5 linked regions of the Mus musculus genome follow. The protein of the gene in region 1 interacts with the protein of each later gene in a biochemical or structural test. Links are inferred from orthologs where the notes say so. Each region holds a gene or a part of one and is shown in the gene's direction. Other genes may lie near its edges.

Region 1 (4,458 bases):
ACCTAAATCTATCAGATTACATATGACCAACCACGTCCTATGCAGCAAACCAAACTATACATATATTTCAAACATATATATATATATATATATATATATATATATATATATATATCCACCTCCTAGCCAGCTCCCAAACTGGTAGTTATCAGTAAGCAAAGTTTTAAATGCTGACTTAAAGAACTGTTAAAGTCTACAATGCCCAATAGCCCACACTTTCACCTTTAAAAGAGAGCTCTTGTCCTAAGCGTTCTTATGTAATGAAACCAACACACGATTCGTTGGAGTCTTATTTTCCATTTAAGTAAGATGGAGATACAATTCTTCCTGTTTACTGCTCCCAGGTTCTACAGATGGCTGCCTCACTGGTCTAATGATTTTGCCTGAATATTTGACTTGAGGGGAGGGGTTGAGAGCTAAAAGACAATGTGTTTCCAAACTTAAGCCCCACTTACACAGTGACTTTCACAAAGCGTCGCCCTTAAAAGTCCTGTCCAAAATGCACCAAGGAGACAGTGGGAACCGGAGAATTTTTGAGGTTTGATTCGTATTTACATCCATCCTTTAAAGGTCCCTTTCAGCGGAGTCTCCAGGATGTCAGCAACTGCCCAGTGCTGCCTGCCTCTCCTAGGTTGTTCTTCTCCCTCCTTTTGGGATGTATTTTCCTTTTTCTACGAGGTCTCTACACGCTGAGTCGAGAATCTCCAAAAACCCACGTTCATTCGGTGATAAAGGCACAATGAATGTGATAGCGTAGAAGCGATATTTAAGGCTCAGTCTTCATCCACACCCTTCTTACTGATCCTTCCCCCCTGGTAAGCCTGGAGATTTTATTTTCGCTAGGGTGGTGTGCCCTTGTCTCCGAAGTGTGTGTGATTCACGGTTAGTAGAGTCACAACTCTTCTGTTTGCCTTTGCTGAATCTCTTCTCTCTGGTTAGGTGAGCAATGTGTTACATTTTCTCCTTTTCCTTCCCCTAGTCCCTAATTCTCGCCTTATTCCCTCTGTCAGAGCATCTATCAATGTGGTGTCGACCACAGCGCCAGCGGCTTTCTCTTTCATCTTCCTCCCCTTGCCTGAGTGAGGGGGCTAGAGTGGGCGGCGGGAAGGAGGTTGAAGAAAGACTGGCAAAGGACTAGAAGTGAGGCGCCGGGGGCGGGGTGGGGTGGGGTCGGCAAGAGAAGAAGAGATGCTCAGATGATGAAGTTAAGCCATTCCCGTAGTTTCTCGTCAATTTTCACGTGGGCCACACTGTTCTTTGGGGTTGGGTTACACACAGCACCCAGTCTATCTTCAGGTTGTATGGTGTCGTCCCCCCCCCCCCAGGCATGAACAGGCGGGCGCAAACACATACGCACCCCCACGGCGCCCCCCCCCCCCAAGTATGACTCGTCCTTTGGGTGCTAGGAAATGAACTAGGGCTGGGGGGGGGGGGAGAGAACCTGGATCTCCTCCTCCTCCTAACAGACTCCCTCCTCCCCACCCCTCCAGCAGGCAGCCAAGGAGAGCAGGAGGCGGGGGAGGGGCGGGGGAGGAGAAGCGACGCAAGTGAATAGCTTTGCAGCGCCGGCTAGGCGCGGCGAGGAGAAGCGGTGGGAAGGCGCAACCGCTCACCTGCGGGGCAGCGCGCACCGGAGGGACCGGGCTGCGCTTTCGTGGGCCCTGGCATTCGGACATTCCCGGAGCCTTGCAAGCGGCTACGCTCCGGGTGTTCCCCGGCCGGTCTGCCCGGAGGAGCCGAGGGGCCACCGGCAGCTCTTTGCTTTGACCGAGGGGAGGCGGGGAGAGAGGCGAGCCAGGCAGAAACTCGAGCCGGGAACAAAGAGGGATCGGGCTCGAGTGTGTGTGTGTGTGTGTGTGTGTGTGTGTGTGTGTAAGTGTGTGTATCGGCCCGAGCTGCGGGCTGGAACATTTGGGCCCGAAGCTCCTGCTGTGACTCCCCAAGACTCCGCCGTGCCAGCCACCGCCGATTCCCAGCGCTCATCATCACAAACTTTATTCTTGGCAAACTTCTCTTTTTCTCCCCTCCTCCTCCGCCCCTCCCCCTCCAGCAGATTAAATGCTCCTCCAGAAGGAAAACCGAAGCGAAAGGGAAGGAAAGAAGCTCTAACGCGGACGTCTGCAGCCCGGTGGCTCTTTATTGTTTACTCTGAAGGAAGTGGACTTTTCGGTATTTTCTGATTCTTCTCGTACCTCCGCTGGGGCAAAGGGAGCCTCTTGGCCCAGCTCTCCTCTTCTCAAAAACAAAACAAAACAAAACCCCAAATCACCGAAATCAGCATCCGAGGAATCCGTGGAGAGGTTTTGCACGGTGACGCACCACGGGACCCTCGTTTGCACTTTGGCAAGTCGTGTCCCCTCCGGAACCGGTGTCCTCGAAGCACAGACCCCAGCAACGAGTGCGGCGTGGGGTGGCCACCCAGCCCTGGCAGCCTAGCCTAGTGCACGCGGAGCGGCGTAGACGCTCTCAGAGGCGCCGGCGGCTGCCGCCCTCGCAGTCTGGTGCCCTTCGCCCCAGGGCCGGGCGCCGGCGTCCTTCTAAGTGGGAAAGCGCGGCAATCGCAGAGGCTCCTGCAGCTGCTCCAGCCGTGGGCCCCTCGCTTGCCCACCCGGCTTCCATTCACAGTCCTCCCGCACTCAGTCTTCCAACTCCCCCACCTCACATCGACCCTCCCTTCTTGCTGTCTCGGAGTGCTCCCGCAGCGGAGCGGAGATTACACAGCCGCCGGGATGCCCCAACTTTCCGGAGGAGGCGGCGGGGGGGACCCGGAACTCTGCGCCACCGATGAGATGATCCCCTTCAAGGACGAAGGCGATCCCCAGAAGGAGAAGATCTTCGCCGAGATCAGTCATCCCGAAGAGGAGGGCGACTTAGCCGACATCAAGTCATCTTTGGTTAACGAGTCCGAAATCATCCCAGCCAGCAACGGGCATGAGGTGAGTGGGCAGCTGTCCGGAGAGGCGTGGCGGGTCCCGGGGAAGCGGAGGGGAAGCAAGCAGGGTGCGCGACCACGGTGGCCATTGAGCCCTGGTCCCTCGCGGGCTGGGTGGGGAATAACGGCCCCTAGTCCATGGTGCGCACGTGTGTGAGCAGCGGGCAGGGAAATTTATCCCAAGTGTTTCTATGGCTAAACGGTGGCAAATGGGCAGGAAACGCTGGCCTATACCGGACCGGTTTCGTCCTCCGACGTTTCGGTGGCTCTGAGGGACGCGGTGCATTAAAACAGGGATGTCTAAACACAACTGTGAAGTCTATCATGGGGTGGAAAACAAAGTGCATCCGCTAGCTCTCTCGGTACAGTGCACAGAAGTGCGTTAAACCACCGAGGGCTCCAAGGAGCGAAGCCCCAGGCGGGAGGAAGGAGAGGCGGGCGTGGGCCTCGCAGAAGGGGCCGTCCCAACCGCCGTGGAGCCGGGGCGCGCGCCCTAACTGCGGGGGCGTTGCGGGGCCGGGTCCCCACAGCAGGAGAGGCTGCTGCCGGGAGCCGTGGGCGAGCCGATCCGAGCCAGCCAACGGCACCGATACCGCAGTCCTTCCGCCCGCAACCCCGGCGTTTAAAGTGGAAAGAAAAGCGTTTATTTGGGGTTAGGCTGGGTTGGGATCAGGCCCTGGATCTCTGCAGAAGAAAGGCGAGCCCTCGGCGGAAGCCGGGCGGCGGCTAGGGAGGAGGGACGCGCTTTATCAGATCTCCGGGCCAGCTGAAGGCGACGGCGCTGGTAACCCGAGTAGAGTAAATAGAGACACGTGGGTGCCGGCGCGAGGGAGCGGGGAGCCCGGCCGCGCGCGAGCATCGGATGGGCGTAGATCCCCACAGCCCACACCTTAGCGGCCACTCTGTCTCAGCAGCTGAGGAAACCTCACGGGGGCATCCAGTAGAAAAGTTCTGATACCCAAATGATGTGCCCAACGTTTTTTCCTTCCAGAGAAACTTGGAGAGTATAGCCTTTTCCTTAAATGGCAACTTTCTGCCCCCACCCCCAACCCAAAGAAAGGGTGGTTTCGGGGGCGGGGACATTTTGGGTTTAAAGAGTGCTTTTAAGAACACCTCAGAGTTACCTTCTCTGTCCCGATGGCAGGGGTGAGTACGCATCTGGGAAGGCTGGGGGGCTGATTCCAAAATATAAGGACCCTCTCTAGTCCCAAAGTCCTACCCCCCCCCAAAAAAAAATAGAGGAAGGGGGCGAGAATGCATTAAAAGTCAGGTAAAAAGGGTCTCCGGACGAGGGATTGAAATACCATCTAAACTCTGGTGGTTTTTTATTTTTGTTTGTTTCATTCTTGACCAGACTGTAGAGTAGCCTCTTTCTTTCTACTGGAGTAGTTTACACATTTCAATCCACCTCACATTTCTACGGTTTTGTAGTCTGAGGAGAAAAGCCATGCTTAGGAGACTGTCAACTACCGGGGTTGGGTGTTTGAACTGTTCATCTTTCCGCGGTGGAAGTGGGGCGAGCAGAG
Region 2 (3,500 bases), on another chromosome or scaffold:
CTCCTTATCTCAGTGAACCTGATTGGGATAATCCTCCGCAGACATCACAGAGACCCATCTCCCAGGTTCTTCTAGGTTCATCAGATCGACAGTTGAGACTGACCATCACAGTTTTGGTCAGAGTATTTAATCACAGCAACTGAAAAAGAAACTATTACAGCAAGCTTTTGCTTTGGACTTTTAAGGAAACTCCCTAGTTGTCTCTCAGAGCCATTGTATCACTGTTTTCCATGCGTGATGTTTAAGAGTTCTGGTTGCTCCACACCATTGCCAGCACGTGGCACACACGGTCCTTTTAAATTACAGCTGTTCTGATGGTCATATGGTGGCATCTCATTGTATATAGTTACGTTTTGCTTTATGTATATGGGTATTTTGCCTGCATTTATTTATGTCTGTGTACCATGTGTGTGCCCAGTGCCTGAGGAGGTCAGAAAAAGGCACCAGAGACTCTGGGACTAGAGTTACGGATGCTTGTGAACCTCTGTGTGGGTGCTGGGAACCAACTTTGCTCCTCTGCAAGAACAGCACGTGCTTTTAACTGTGGAGACATCTCTCCTGTCCCTTCGATTTAATCCACGCTTTCCTTCTTAGTAATGACATAGAACATCTTTGCCATCTTTAACTTTTTAAACTAGCATTTGATTAAGGGAATCACCTGCTATTTGAATGTTGGGTTGCTTTTGGCATTCTTTATCCTAGAAAGGACCTCTGTGAGATATATTCTTTGCCGGTGTTCTCCTCTGACTTGTTACCTCTCTTTTTGTCCAAGTTTTATACCGATCAGAAGCCTCTCTCCTGAGTCCCATTGTATCGATATGTCAACTTTGACTTTTACGGACAGTGTTTTTGGTGGAGCAGCTGAGAAATCACTGTCTGGTCACAGAGTTCCTCAATGGTTTGAGATTTATTCTTTGACCCTTAGTTTCTACAGAGGTGTAAGGTGCAGGTTGAAGTTCATTTTTCTTAGTGTGGATCTTCAGGAGGCTCAGCACCACCTGCTAAAGGATTAACCCGTCCCTGCTGGTGTGTCTTTGGACTTTCGATACAAGTCAATGTCCCATGTATATGTGACGGTCTTTGTTGGGTCTTATTGGTGTCATGGTCAGTTTTGAGGATGTCGGCACACTACTTTGATGATGGAAGCACTCTTGCTTTTTTTTTTTTCCATCTACTGTTTGTCTTTGTGCATGTATATGTGTACTTGTGTGGGTTTGTGTGTGTGCAGGTATGCTGATGTGTGCAGGGACCTAGGCACATGTTCGAATGTCTGTGGCTGCCAGAAGGTAGCTTTGGCTGCTGTTCCTCAGGTGCCATCCACTTTGTTTTTATTCTTTGGGACAGGGTCTCATTGACCTTGGTCTCACCATATAGGCTAGGCAGGGATCTGGCTGTCCCGCCTCCTCTGTGCACTACCCAAGCCAGCTCTTCTCACATGGGTTCTGGAGACAGAACTCCTTGTGTTCTTACACTCGCAACGCAGGTACTTTGCTAAGTGGATCGTCTCCCTAGCACCCGTTGTTACTTTGAAAGCAAGAGGATACCCCTCCCAGTGCCCAGGAGGGACTCTCCAGCTCCACTCTTCCTCATGGCTGGCATGGCCCTTCTCTGGCCATTTCTCTCCTGTCCCCCTCTTTCCCATCAGAGAGGTGGCCACAGCATCCAGCTAACCTTGTGTTGAGGCTTATGTCATACCCTGGAGGGACAGTGTGGCCACCTCCCTTATCTTTGGGGACTTCGGTAAAGAAAGTGAGGGGAGCTGAAGGATTTTGTCTCCATCTACTACGAACCACTCTCTTGTTGCCTCTTCTTTGACCCCAACTCAGCCCCCGCTTGCCTAGGGCTGGCTTAGAGAATAACAGCAGTCACCGGTAACACTGAGAGGATTTCTCCCCAGGTGGTGCTCTGCAAAGTGCTTTCTAGTAGAGATCAGGTGAGGGGAGACTGTCCCCATCTTACACATGGGGCAGTTGAGGGTCCTAGTGCCCAGGCTTGCATAGTCAGGAGCATCTTCAGGTCTTAGGATTTCACATCTGGCTGCCTTCCTCCTGTGCCTCAAGGGCTAGTTTCAGGCTGTCCTCTCTTGTTCAGCTCTGTAATTACTGTTTTCAGCTGTAGGGGCTCCTTGGTCTGGGCCTCATGGGAGGGAGGTAATTACATCCTTCCACAAGTCCTTAGTCAGCAGCTCTCAGTCCCTGTGACCAGGCCTAGCACTGACCTTTGTCCCTCCCTATTCCAAGCCAGTAGCTTGGAGATTATTTGGACCCTGGTTGGCTCTGGTTGACACATCTGGCCAGCCCCTCTATTATAAAGTACTCATAAAATCTGTTGAATTCAGACCCATACGTGCCATAGGGACAGAGGGACAGCTTTCAGTGGCCCTCTGCTAGTCTGGCCCAGCTACTAAAAAACATCATGCCCTCAACCCTGGGCTCCTAGAACAGCTTTCTTGTAGAAAGGACAGTCTTGCTTCTCCTAATCTATACTCGCCACCCCACCGCCTCCCAACCTGTGGACCCCACACAGCCAGACTTATTGTAGGGCCTGTTGTGCTCACATGTGTACACGTACACAGTCCATTCAACATCTAAGAGGCCATTTTTTGCTTTCAGAGAAAAGTAGGACTCCCTGCCAGGTCAGCTCTCCAGGCCATTCAGCTTCCTTTTGTAGTCTTATACTTGGCTTCCACCCTGTTCAGCAGTCTCCTCTACGGGGCCAGACTGGTGGCATGTATATCTACTTAGGCTTAGTTCAAGAAGGTCCCCTTCCTTGAGAGCTGCTACTCTGAGAACCCTGGAGCCTATTGGGTACAAGAGCCTCTCTTCCAGCCTAGGGGACCTCAGCCTTCCTTAGTGGGCCTCCTTGTTTCTTTTGGGAGCTGGGACCCTGTTCAGCAAGAACAGTTAACAGTGGTGCTCAGACCTCCTGGTCCCCTGTGTCTAGGGGAGAAATGAACGCAAATGGGCCTGCCAGCAGCCTTGAACTCCCCAGGAGCTGCTGGGAGCTGGACTTAGGAGACGGCAGTCCAAATCTACTTAACTGACACTTTCTGTTCCTTCTTTGCCATGGCAGGTCACTGGATGGTCGGCTGCAGGTGTCCCATCGGAAGGGGCTCCCTCACGTTATCTACTGCCGCCTGTGGCGATGGCCCGACCTGCACAGCCACCATGAATTACGGGCCATGGAGCTCTGTGAGTTTGCCTTCAACATGAAGAAGGATGAAGTGTGTGTAAATCCTTACCACTATCAGAGAGTAGAGACGCCAGGTGTGTGAGTGTGTCCCTGCCCTCCCCCTCCTACCTACTCAGGAGGGTCTCAGAAGCCCTTGGGGCTGGGACCTCAGTGCGCTGGCACTGATCCACCTCTGTTGTGTCTCTCTTGGGGACAGTTCTACCTCCAGTGTTGGTGCCACGCCACACCGAGATCCCGGCCGAGTTCCCCCCACTGGATGACTACAGCCATTCCATTCCCGAGAACACTAACTTCCCTGCTGGCATTGA
Region 3 (3,500 bases), on another chromosome or scaffold:
ATAAGGACAGATCTGCTCCTTTAATGCTATTTATTTTCTGATGCCCTAAGAAGTAATTTACTATAGCTTTAGACATAGTAAATAGCAGGAAGATTTCTTTCCCCAGTAGGTAACTGCTTTCTCCCGAGCAGCTCTTGTTTAGAGTGGATAAGATAAAATTGTGTTTGTCAGTGAAAAGTAACTTTAAATCAAATGTCATTGATTTTGCTTATTTTTTTTTAAAAAAGCATTTCTAATTCCCTGTTAGTGTTGATGGAAAACGACAGCAAATACTGTGCTGGTTTGTCAATAAGTAAGCCTTTAAAAACTCTTACATACAAGTGATATAGACTTGAATGTAACTGCTTTGTGTAGAATTGCTTTCTCCATAGAGCTCATTCATAATTAAAATCCTGAATAATATTTTTATATATGAAAGGAAGTAACCAGTAATTCCTTGATTTAAACATGGCAATATTTCTGATTATTTCTATGATAATTTTAGTCAGTACTTAAGGATTTTGTGTGTGTTTGTATATAGATTTGTCTCTGTGTGTGTGTGTGTTTCTGTGAGTGTGATTCTGAGTGTGTGTGTGGGTGGGGAGTGTGTGCATGATTGTGTGTTTTTGTACATGCACATACATTTTAACAGAAAGCTATTCTATTTGCCAAGGAAAACAAGATAAAACAGAGTTGTGCGTTTTCAAGTTTGTTGTTTTGATTTTTGTGTTGGGGAGATTTTCGCCTCATAGATACTTGCAAATTTAATAATTAGCCATAAGAAGAAGGGCACTAGGATAGAATTAAATGTATACTTAATTATCAGGGACGTTAAACAGGATAGTTAGTACCCTGGATTCTAAGAGCTCTAAATCCTGCAATTTAGATTCTCAGCTTCAGTACTATCAATTATTTTACTATTATTATTATTATTATTATTATTATTAGCACAATGGCCAGTACCTTACAGGGGATTGATAATCTGTTCTGTTGGTCAACTGGTCAGTCTCACAATCTATGCTACAGGAAAAGCTACCTGAAAGCCCCGAATAACACTGCTATCTTCTCTTCCCTCCACGGCCATGCTCAGGTGCAGACCCACCTGGAAAACCCCACCAAGTACCACATACAGCAAGCTCAGAGGCACCAGGTAAAGCAGTACCTTTCTACCACTTTAGCAAATAAACATGCCAGCCAAGTCCTGAGCTCACCATGTCCAAACCAGCCTGGCGACCATGCCATGCCACCAGTGCCGGGGAGCAGCGCACCCAACAGCCCTATGGCTATGCTCACTCTTAACTCCAACTGTGAAAAAGAGGTAATTCACGTCTCCTCTTCTCCTCTGTTTCTTACATTCCATTAACTGTCTGTGGGATACTCCTCTCGCCCTTAGCAATGGACTGTCTTTTGTCCACCTGGTCATTGTCACCAACCTCTGTCCTAGATCTACTGGTGTGACCGTTTATATTTCAGCCTTCGGTCACGAAGACTAGGTTACTGGGTTTATTGCACACGACAGGAGACCTGACTTGCTCTAAGCAGAACGTGGAGGCGAGGATGCTTCCGTAACTCCCATCACCGTCCTTAGATGAGTGTTTTCTTCCCTTCTATGCCTTCCAATTTGTGAAGCAGCGAACATACAGACAGGAGAAGGGGAAAGTGGAAAGGGAAAGCAAAAATAGAAAAGGCGTGCGGCGGCAGGAGGCTTAGGAGCTCTGCTTGCTGTGAATGTCTGGGATATTATTTTTATGTTTCATGGAGTTGGAGAAAGAAAAAACATGGAGCAGGTATGGGTGGATTTGAATGGTATGGCATATGAGGCTTTTAAAGAAAGATCAAGGCTTATTACAGCATCCAGTCGGTCTCAAAATGAATGGCTGCCTGGTGACACTGGTCTGGGCAGAGGGACAAAGACTTAGTCCCTCTGGTGACTGAAATAACCCAAAAGTTGTGTGACAGTCACTTGTGAACTCACATTAACACTTCCATACTTAGTAGGACCTTACTAAAACGAGACTCGAGTTCTCATAATTTGGGAATATCAGACACTGAATCACAGCAGCACCCCTGTCCAATTTATGCTCCAAATTTTGATACAAAAACTAGCGTGAGGGTTGGAGTCTTGTCTCTAATCTGGCCTCTACCAAAGCACATACTTCTTATCCACCCATATCTGCCATATGCTTCACCCATGTCTCCCACCATTATTGTGCTCCTTGGTTAGCATCTGCTTGTTTGAGAGTTCCATCCATCACATTGCTATGGCACTAACATCCTGTGAATGTGTTGCTGAAAGGCGTTTGCAAATCCGAGTCATGGACTGTCTCTGCTTCTGTTTCTGCAGGCATTTTATAAGTTTGAGGAGCAGAGCAGGGCAGAGAGTGAGTGCCCAGGTATGAACACGCACTCTCGAGCGTCGTGCATGCAGGTACTGAATGGCCGGGCAGGCCAAGGATGTAACACTTGATAATGAGTGAGAATCTATATTTGTGAATGATCGCAGCTCCTGATGACTTCAGGACCTCCTTTCCTCCCATTGATACTTTTTTGATAGAAGGATCTATGAACAGACCTATTTTCTTCATAGTAACTCATGAATGACTAGGTAACAACTAAGAAGATTAAATATGTGTACCCTTTAAGTTTCCCACAGTCATACGGAGAGGGAAATATCCATAGATTGTCGTAAAAAATGCAGGATGATTTAGTTAATGTGCATAAATCTCCAGCACCTTTTGTATAGCATTGTACCAGCCTTCTAAGATATATTTTTGAAACCAAGCTGTGCCAATCTCTGCATTGTTTTCTAAATGGAACCTCCTGTTCTCTGTATTATGAAGCTTCAGTAAGCTAATAATAGCTCACAAGCACTTCCCCAAGGATCTGAAGATCATTATTTAAATTCTATTTAGCGAATAAATGGAAGCATTTATTTATGTATTTATGTGCTTATTCAGATGTATGGGATAGAATATAATACAAACAACAAAATGGTTTCTTTGCCTTTATATATATGCTAAAGTATATACTATTTTAATGATACATTAAGGACACTAATTTTGTTCCCCTAAAACTAAAGTCAAAATTTATAAAGAAAAGTGGTTTATATGTCTCCAGCCTATTTTCTTATTCATCAACCCAGTCAAAAAGCCATGTATTGCAAATAAATAAGCTGATATGCCAGGAACGAAAACTAACATGAAGTATACTAGCTCTATTCAAACCTGACCACCAGTTATTTTTTAGAGAAATCACTTGCTATGACTCATTCTTTAGATCAGACGTTATAGTATATTCCAATTTTCTGAGCATTTTGGAAGGTTTCTCCTGAAATCTCATCTGTCCCCAGTGAGACAATATATGCTATTGTCCCCATTGCGTAGATTGGCATACTGAGATTTCTGAAGACTGGAGGCGTTGCCCTTGATCCAGGAAGAGGGTGAAACTAGATTTGAACCCAATGCGCATAATGCTGGAGTCTCACCTCTTTAATGGGAGGTACACATGAACACAGGGGTGCC
Region 4 (3,500 bases), on another chromosome or scaffold:
AGAGAGAGAGAGAGAGAGAGAGAGAGAGAGAGAGAGAGAGAGAAAAGAAAAGAAAGGAAGGAAGAGGAGGAAGAAGGAGAAAGGGGTTGGGAGAGCTGCAGCGATGGAGATAGCTTATTAGTGTTAATACGACTTGCTATTCTTCCAGAAGACCTGAATTTGGTTTCTAGCATCCATGTCTGATGGTTCATAGTTGCCTATGACTTAAGCTCTGAGGAATCTAACTGCACTGACCTTAAGGAGTCTTGCATTCAAGTGCACACACACAGACTACACACAGACAGTTAAAAATAATTTTTAGGTGGGGCCTGAGGGGTCCTTTTGCTAGCACCAGAACAGTTGCTGGAGAGTTCAACCGCCAGCTTAAAAGATGCCACCGAAGGGGAAAAGTAGTTCTGGAAAAGGAGGGAAAGGAGGTGCAGCCTCTGGGAGTGACAGTGCTGACAAGAAGTCTCAGGGTCCTAAAGGTGGTGGCAATGCAGTAAAGGTCAGACACAGTCTGTGTGAAAAACATGGGAAAATCATGGAAGCCATGGAAAAGTTAAAGTCTGGGATGAGATTCAGTGAAGTGGCCACACAATATAGTGAAGATAAAGCCAGACAAGGGGTGACTTGGGTTGGATGACCAGAGGATCCATGGTGGGGCCATTTCAAGAAGCAGCGTTTGCCTTGCCTGTAAGTGGGATGGATAAGCCTGTGTTTACAGACCCACCAGTTAAGACAAAATTTGGATATCATATTATTATGGTTGAAGGGAGAAAATAAAATCACATGAAAGACTGAAAAAATAATAATAATTTTTAGGTTTAAAAACAAAGTGAGCATTGGTGGCATATGCCTTGAGTCCTTGTACTTGGGAGGCAGAGGCAGTGGATCTTTATGAGTTTGAAGCTAACCTGGTCTACATAAAAATGTCCAGGAAGGATAGCCAGGGCTGTATAGTGAAACCATATATTTTTTTTCTCCATAAAATATACTTTTTATTTTTTTTTTTAAGGTGGCATCTTAGTGTTAAGAGCACTGATTGCAGCTATGTGACAATTGACAACTGTCCAAGGGAGTTCTGACACTCTCTTCTGGTCTTCAGGCAGTACACTGACTGCATGCACTTGTTGCACAGACATACATGCAGACAAAAATACTCATAAAAATAACTCTTAGAATAACTTTTAGATAATAAGTTTTAGAGAAAAAAAACATGTGGAGCTAAGTGTGGTATCTCAGCACTTGAGAAAGTAGGGGATCTTTGTAACAGGTTCTAACAAAGTCTACAAGTCTGAGCTTTCCAGCTTTACATAACCACTAGGAACTCATCTATTTATCATCAGTGTGGGGTAATAATTGTCACAGGAAACATGTTTTATATGGAGATAGTCTAACTTCTATGTGGATGTAGTTATTTTCGCTTGCATTTTCTGTCTTTGAGAAATGAGTGAGCTGGCACTGAACTGCAGCAGACTCTCTCAAAGTGTTCCTCTTCCATAGATCGGTCCCGTGTTAGTCTACAGGTGTCCACTGAGTACTCAAGTTCTTCTGCTTTCAGGGTGGTTGTTAGAGCCCTGACAGTGTCTTAGCCACACTTCCCTCAGAAAGGGTCCAGAGATCTGAACCTCAGGGGAAAGCCAGTTTCTCAGGCGCTCCCATCACTGGAACACCAGTGCTGAGAGCTGCCCCGTAGTTAGATAAGGCCAGGAAGTGGTGTCCTCTGAGCATGAATTTCCCATCCTAGGGAGATCCAAATGAAATGTTGCTGTTAATTAGGTTATAGAGTCAGAACAGTTTGAGCACCAAAAAATTGGTGAAGTGGTTTGCTACCTACAAAGACTTGTTCATAGGAAGACCATTCTATCAGTCTCCTTATCATGCCCAGCTCGATAAATGTGGCCTCATGTGGCATCATGGATTTCTAAGTTCCACAGTTTTCTGTCAGTGTAAGAGATTTCTAGAATGTAAAAGATATGTGCTGGTCTAAACACTGAGTGCTTACCTTTTATTTCAAGAGTGAATGCTTTGGGTATTTATTGCACTACATGTATCTGATGTGTAGATTAGCCCCTTGAAGAGCTTGGATCCATTTGAAGCATTAAAATTGATTCGTTTACTGTTTGAAAAGAATAGTCTTTAGACACTACCTGCAAGATTATAAATGCTGTGGTTTTGAAGCAGTGGGGTCTAGAGATGTAACGCCAGAGTTACTCTAGTGTAAGAGCTCTATGATCTCCGTGAAATGGAGCCCAACTGGCCATAAACTCACAATCCCGTCTTAGCCTCCTAAGTGGTAGAATAACAGGTATGTACCACCTAACCTGATTTTTAAAAAAAATAGGCCAGAAAGTAAAAGAAAGAGTTCTTATCAGAGCTTCCTTGAAGATGTTGTAGTTGTTCTAAGGTTAAAAAAAAAAAAAGTGGCATTCATTTTCATTTCTAAGGCTGCAACTTAAGTCTAATGAAAACGCCATTCTGTGATCTCCTGTCAACCTGTATTTCATGTTCTCTTGCAGTTGGATTTGATCACAGATCTGTTGGGCACACCATCACTGGAAGCAATGAGGACAGCTTGTGAAGGTGCTAAGGCACACATACTCAGGGGTCCTCATAAACAGGTAAAGAGGGGAAGTCTGTCTCTGGCAGCTGGCCCCAAGGGAAGAATTTCTATCCCAGAGATGTTGCTTACAGGTTTTAGATATATATATATTCATGGACACATAGACACAAACAGATATCCTACAAGTAAGATCACTGTTATGTGTATATGACCATAAATAGTAAATGGCATGTGGCCATGCCCAGTACTATAGGAGAAATGCGTGTTTTTATAGCGCCATTGCTTATCAGTGACAGGTGACCTCTTGGTGTTACCAGTATGTGGGAGGAAGCTCTGACTTAAGTGCATGTGAGTCAAGATACCAGCTCCAAACACTAAGCCCAAATAACGGTCGGTGTCTCTTTGCCTTGCAAGGATGCAAAGCAGTTGCTGTTACTCTTAGCACTAGCGTCACATTAGACCCCATTGTGGTCAGCAGTATAAAGAAGGGCTGCCCGATTCTTACTAATCAATATGACTTGCAACCTGCCAGATCACTGCTGAGAAAGCTGGGGTGCTTTTTATCTGCTCTCTTGATTAAGCAGTGTTCCCTGCAAGCACTATCCTAACCCCCTTTAGAGGAAAGTTAATGATGTGAAGAGTGAGTGAGGGAGGAGAATGCTTTTCCTAGACACAAGAAACAAGCAGAACCAGGAAGGCTTGAGCAGGACTAGCAAGGCCGGCCTCCTCAGCCAAGGCTACACAGGAGGCAGGAAGGAAGGTTCTCAGACACTGGCTCAGGCCAGGGAGGAGAGACAGATGCTTGTGGGTTTTTATTCATATTTGTTTGCTTATTTTTGAGACAGGGCTCTGGTTATCTTTAACTCACTGTGTAGAGCAAGTTGGATCAAATTCACAGCAGCCCACCTGGTTAAGCTTATATTTAAAGAGCCTCCTTGTGGGTATATCCTTCAGT
Region 5 (3,500 bases), on another chromosome or scaffold:
AATTTTTTTCTAGGACAGTGATGGGGACAAGAGTGATGACAACTTAGTTGTGGATGTGTCTAACGAGGTAACAGTGTTTTTCGTGAAGGATTTTCTTGACTAGTGTTGAGAAAAGTCCAGTTGTAAGTGAGTGGAGTTGAGTCACGTTAGCTGAGTCTTATACCTTCATGTATCAAGAATGTAATGGATGCTTAAAAATGGGTACTCATAACCTAACTAAAGCTGTAATTTCCCTTTCAAAACATGAGGTTTGGGAATGGACCTCAGTTCATGAGTGTTTGTCTACCATTGGCGCCAACTCTGTTTGATCCCCAGCCCCCCAGAAAGAAAAATCTGCTTCCTAAGTCATTTTAATTTCTGTGGTTGATGTCTGGCTAGAGGATGTTCCTGGGTATTGGTAGAAAGATGATTGTTTTTCTTATGATATGGTTCTGGGTGTTTTATAAATACCATTTTGTTCATTTAGTGAGCATTACACTCCTCAAATCTAAAAGATTTTCAGTATTATCCTTTAGTTGAGAGTATGAAAAAGTATGTTCATTCTGAGCTAAAACATGTCAACTTGTTATTGTGTGTTGAGGACCCTTCTTCTCCACATGCAAGCCCCACACACTCACCCCGGGAAAACGGAATTGACAAAAACCGTCTGCTGAAGAAAGATGCTTCAGGTAGCCCGGCATCCACAGCCTCCTCTGGAAGTTCCTCTTCCCTGAAATCCAAAGAAGTGAGCCTGGTAGGTAGGAGCTGCTTTTTTTCTGGGTGACACTGCCATTTCCTTTGTGGAACATGGGATCCTGAAGTGTGTGAAGTGGGGATTTTGCTGCTTAAAGCTTTTGTGTTCAAGTGTTAAAACACTTGCTGTCCTATTTACTGTTCCCCTTTATCTCATTTGTCTCTCAGAGCACAATTAGAGTGGGTGTGGAAGTTTCTGTGTGCATCGTTTTTCTCCTTATACATGGTCATGACTCAGCTCTGTGACACTCAATAAGTGGTAGTGAATAACTCACAAGGAATCTTGATTTTGCTAAGCTCCTGTTTATGGGGTAAACTAAGCCATTGTGCATATCCCATCCTCGTTGGCATGTACACAGGAGACATGGGATCTTCAGAGCCCATTCATCATAGCCCATTCATGTGGTCCTTAAACCACTGAATCTTTTATAACTTCGGATGGTAGTGCTTGCCTGTAGTGCCTATATTTTGGAGGATCTGGCAGGAAGGAAGCTCTTGGGATAGAGGTCAAGTCTGTCTTACATTGTGAGACTACCTCAAAGCAAGTCTTTACTTTGGTGACCTCAGGGTTATCGCTTTATGCAAATAGAGTAAAGCAAAACCTGAGTAACTTGTTGAGAACATTCTATCAAATCCTAAGCCAGAGCTGGGAGTTTTGGCTCACTCTGTTTTCTACACCCTGGTCCTTCTTGAGCAGTGTTCTAGGGACACAGGAGTTGAGAGATAAAAGAAGATACCCTTTTTATGGAATTACTGTCTCAAGTTATAAAGGTTGCCAACAGGTGATAAGTCTCCTGTGTGCACGGATGGGTCTTCATTAGCTAGGTAGCCATAGAGAAGAGCAGTGTGGGAAGGGTACTTCAGGAACTTTATTTCTGAAGTGCTGGTTTGCTTCTAAAGTAATTGGTAGTTCCACTGTCTGTCACCATCAGTCTGAGTCCCCAAAAGGTGAGGCTGAGAAAAGGTTTCCACTTTGGAGATTGTAGCCAGGTAGGCCCTTCCCAGTGACTTGGAAAGAATCTCCCTGTGGTCATCTTTCTCACCCAGCGAAGACCCGAAGTTCACAAGCTTCATGGAAAACTTGTTGTAAAATAAAATTTGTGGAGGATCATGCTCTGTGTGTCTCCGGCTCGAGTTTTAATCTGGCAGGAAGATGAAAGGTCAACATTTCTCACTCACAAGTTAATGCTGTCGACATTGTGTGGATTTATGAAAATTGGCTAGGGTGTTGCTAGAAGGTGCCCAGTGCCCCAGCTGCTGTTGTGATAAATTGTGTAATATGGCTTGGATTAAAAATAATACTCATTTAATTTGTTTAATGATACCAGCATGAAAAAGCCAACACTCCTGTTCTGAAATCCAGCACACCGACGCCTCGGAGCGACATGCCAACCCCAGGCACCAGCGCTACTCCAGGCCTCCGTCCAGGTCTTGGCAAGCCTCCAGCCATGGAACCCCTTGTCAACCAAGCAGGTCAGCACCCCTTCCCCTACTGTGCTTTGTTTCTTCTGTCCCAGCTTGATGTGCTGTCTGCTAATCTCCTGACAGTTTGCCCCTGAATGTGAAGCACTTGGCACTATTCTCCTGTCTGGAAAGGCATGGGAGCAAGCACATTTGTCCTGGATCCCAGCAGCTGCACCAGTTACTCTCCAGAAGTTTACATTCAGCTTCTCTTTTATTTAAAAATAGTCCAAATCCAATGGTTACAGTAAAGTTCCTCATATTATTCCAAACATAATCTTACAAGTCTGTCATTGTATGTCTGACTGATGTTGCTAATATTAAGCCCCTTGTCAACCAACCAACCAACCAACCAGCCAACCAAAGTGGCTGATTTTGTAGCCAGTGTATACATTTTGCCGCCTATAGATGACTGGGTTTTGTTTGTTTGTCTTGTTTTGTTTTGTTTTGTTTTTTGCTACATCTTCAGGAGTCAGGAAGTTGGGAGGTTTTGCTAATACTCTAGCCCATGAGGTCACTCATAACTTTGAATTTGATCTTCCTCATTGGACAAGCTAAAAAGTAGCAGCCTGAGTCCAGGGGAATTAGGCACCAGAATCCCCTTCCTAAAGCCTTGCTCTGGTTTGCATAAATCCAGGATTTGGTTTTCATTTGGAATTGGTACCAGGGAGTGGAAAGTTCGGACTCAAGGAGAAATCTTGGATTTTATCCAGAAAGTCTTCTTTTGAGATTAAGTCAGGTAAACACGCAGACTCTGTACCTTGGCTTGCCCTTTATGAATTGAGTGCAAAGATGTTGATTAATCCTCCTGGCTTCCTGGTGCGGCTGCTTTGCCAATGAGGAAATTTGGGGGTTGTGCTTTCTGTCCTTGAGGAATGGACCTTGTGTCTAGATTGGGGATCATGATTGCTATCCCCTGAAGCCCTGCCCATCATCATAACTAATGACTAGAATCATTGGTCAGGTTTGGCATGATAGTCAGTCTCATCATACATGGCATGTTTCCTTGCAGCAGCTGGCCTGAGGACGCCCCTGGCGGTGCCTGGCCCATACCCTGCCCCCTTTGGCATGGTGCCCCATGCGGGCATGAACGGAGAGCTGACCAGCCCTGGTGCTGCCTATGCAGGTCTACACAGCATGTCTCCACAGATGAGCGCTGCAGCTGCTGCAGCTGCTGCTGCTGTGGTGGCCTATGGGCGCTCCCCAATGGTAGGTCATGTGCTTGGGTGTGCCCCAGGGACTAGGCAACCCAAAGGGTTCAGGGCCCAAGGTGTGTAGTACTCAGGCAGTGAGGTTCTGGGTATACA

Evidence for each region.
Region 2: the proteins of Lef1 (region 1) and Smad3 form a complex in vitro, tested with the Homo sapiens proteins (2 studies listed by BioGRID, with this or other methods). The link is inferred for Mus musculus from reciprocal best matches to the Homo sapiens genes LEF1 and SMAD3.
Region 3: the proteins of Lef1 (region 1) and Mitf form a complex in vitro, tested with the Homo sapiens proteins (2 studies listed by BioGRID). The link is inferred for Mus musculus from reciprocal best matches to the Homo sapiens genes LEF1 and MITF.
Region 4: of the proteins of Lef1 (region 1) and Nlk, one has a biochemical effect on the other in vitro, tested with the Homo sapiens proteins (4 studies listed by BioGRID). The link is inferred for Mus musculus from reciprocal best matches to the Homo sapiens genes LEF1 and NLK.
Region 5: the proteins of Lef1 (region 1) and Tle1 form a complex in vitro, tested with the Homo sapiens proteins (2 studies listed by BioGRID and IntAct, with this or other methods). The link is inferred for Mus musculus from reciprocal best matches to the Homo sapiens genes LEF1 and TLE1.

What each region holds. Positions count from the first base shown.
Region 1 is NC_000069.6:131,108,743-131,113,200, forward strand, and holds the start of Lef1 (lymphoid enhancer-binding factor 1), read left to right. Parts: upstream 1-1,554; 5' UTR 1,555-2,729; coding exon 2,730-2,936; intron 2,937-3,484; exon of another isoform or gene 3,485-4,069; coding exon of another isoform or gene 4,070-4,078; intron 4,079-4,458. UniProt on the Homo sapiens protein: Transcription factor that binds DNA in a sequence-specific manner. Participates in the Wnt signaling pathway. Activates transcription of target genes in the presence of CTNNB1 and EP300.
Region 2 is NC_000075.6:63,667,495-63,670,994, reverse strand, and holds part of Smad3 (mothers against decapentaplegic homolog 3), read left to right. Parts: intron 1-3,072; coding exon 3,073-3,266; intron 3,267-3,388; coding exon 3,389-3,500. UniProt on the Homo sapiens protein: Receptor-regulated SMAD (R-SMAD) that is an intracellular signal transducer and transcriptional modulator activated by TGF-beta (transforming growth factor) and activin type 1 receptor kinases.
Region 3 is NC_000072.6:97,992,058-97,995,557, forward strand, and holds part of Mitf (microphthalmia-associated transcription factor), read left to right. Parts: intron 1-1,069; coding exon 1,070-1,297; intron 1,298-2,323; coding exon 2,324-2,407; intron 2,408-3,500. UniProt on the Homo sapiens protein: Transcription factor that acts as a master regulator of melanocyte survival and differentiation as well as melanosome biogenesis.
Region 4 is NC_000077.6:78,582,426-78,585,925, reverse strand, and holds part of Nlk (serine/threonine-protein kinase NLK), read left to right. Parts: intron 1-317; exon of another isoform or gene 318-783; intron 784-2,501; coding exon 2,502-2,603; intron 2,604-3,500. UniProt on the Homo sapiens protein: Serine/threonine-protein kinase that regulates a number of transcription factors with key roles in cell fate determination. Positive effector of the non-canonical Wnt signaling pathway, acting downstream of WNT5A, MAP3K7/TAK1 and HIPK2.
Region 5 is NC_000070.6:72,138,394-72,141,893, reverse strand, and holds part of Tle1 (transducin-like enhancer protein 1), read left to right. Parts: intron 1-13; coding exon 14-67; intron 68-580; coding exon 581-733; intron 734-2,060; coding exon 2,061-2,205; intron 2,206-2,830; coding exon of another isoform or gene 2,831-2,932; intron 2,933-3,205; coding exon 3,206-3,402; intron 3,403-3,500. UniProt on the Homo sapiens protein: Transcriptional corepressor that binds to a number of transcription factors. Inhibits NF-kappa-B-regulated gene expression. Inhibits the transcriptional activation mediated by FOXA2, and by CTNNB1 and TCF family members in Wnt signaling.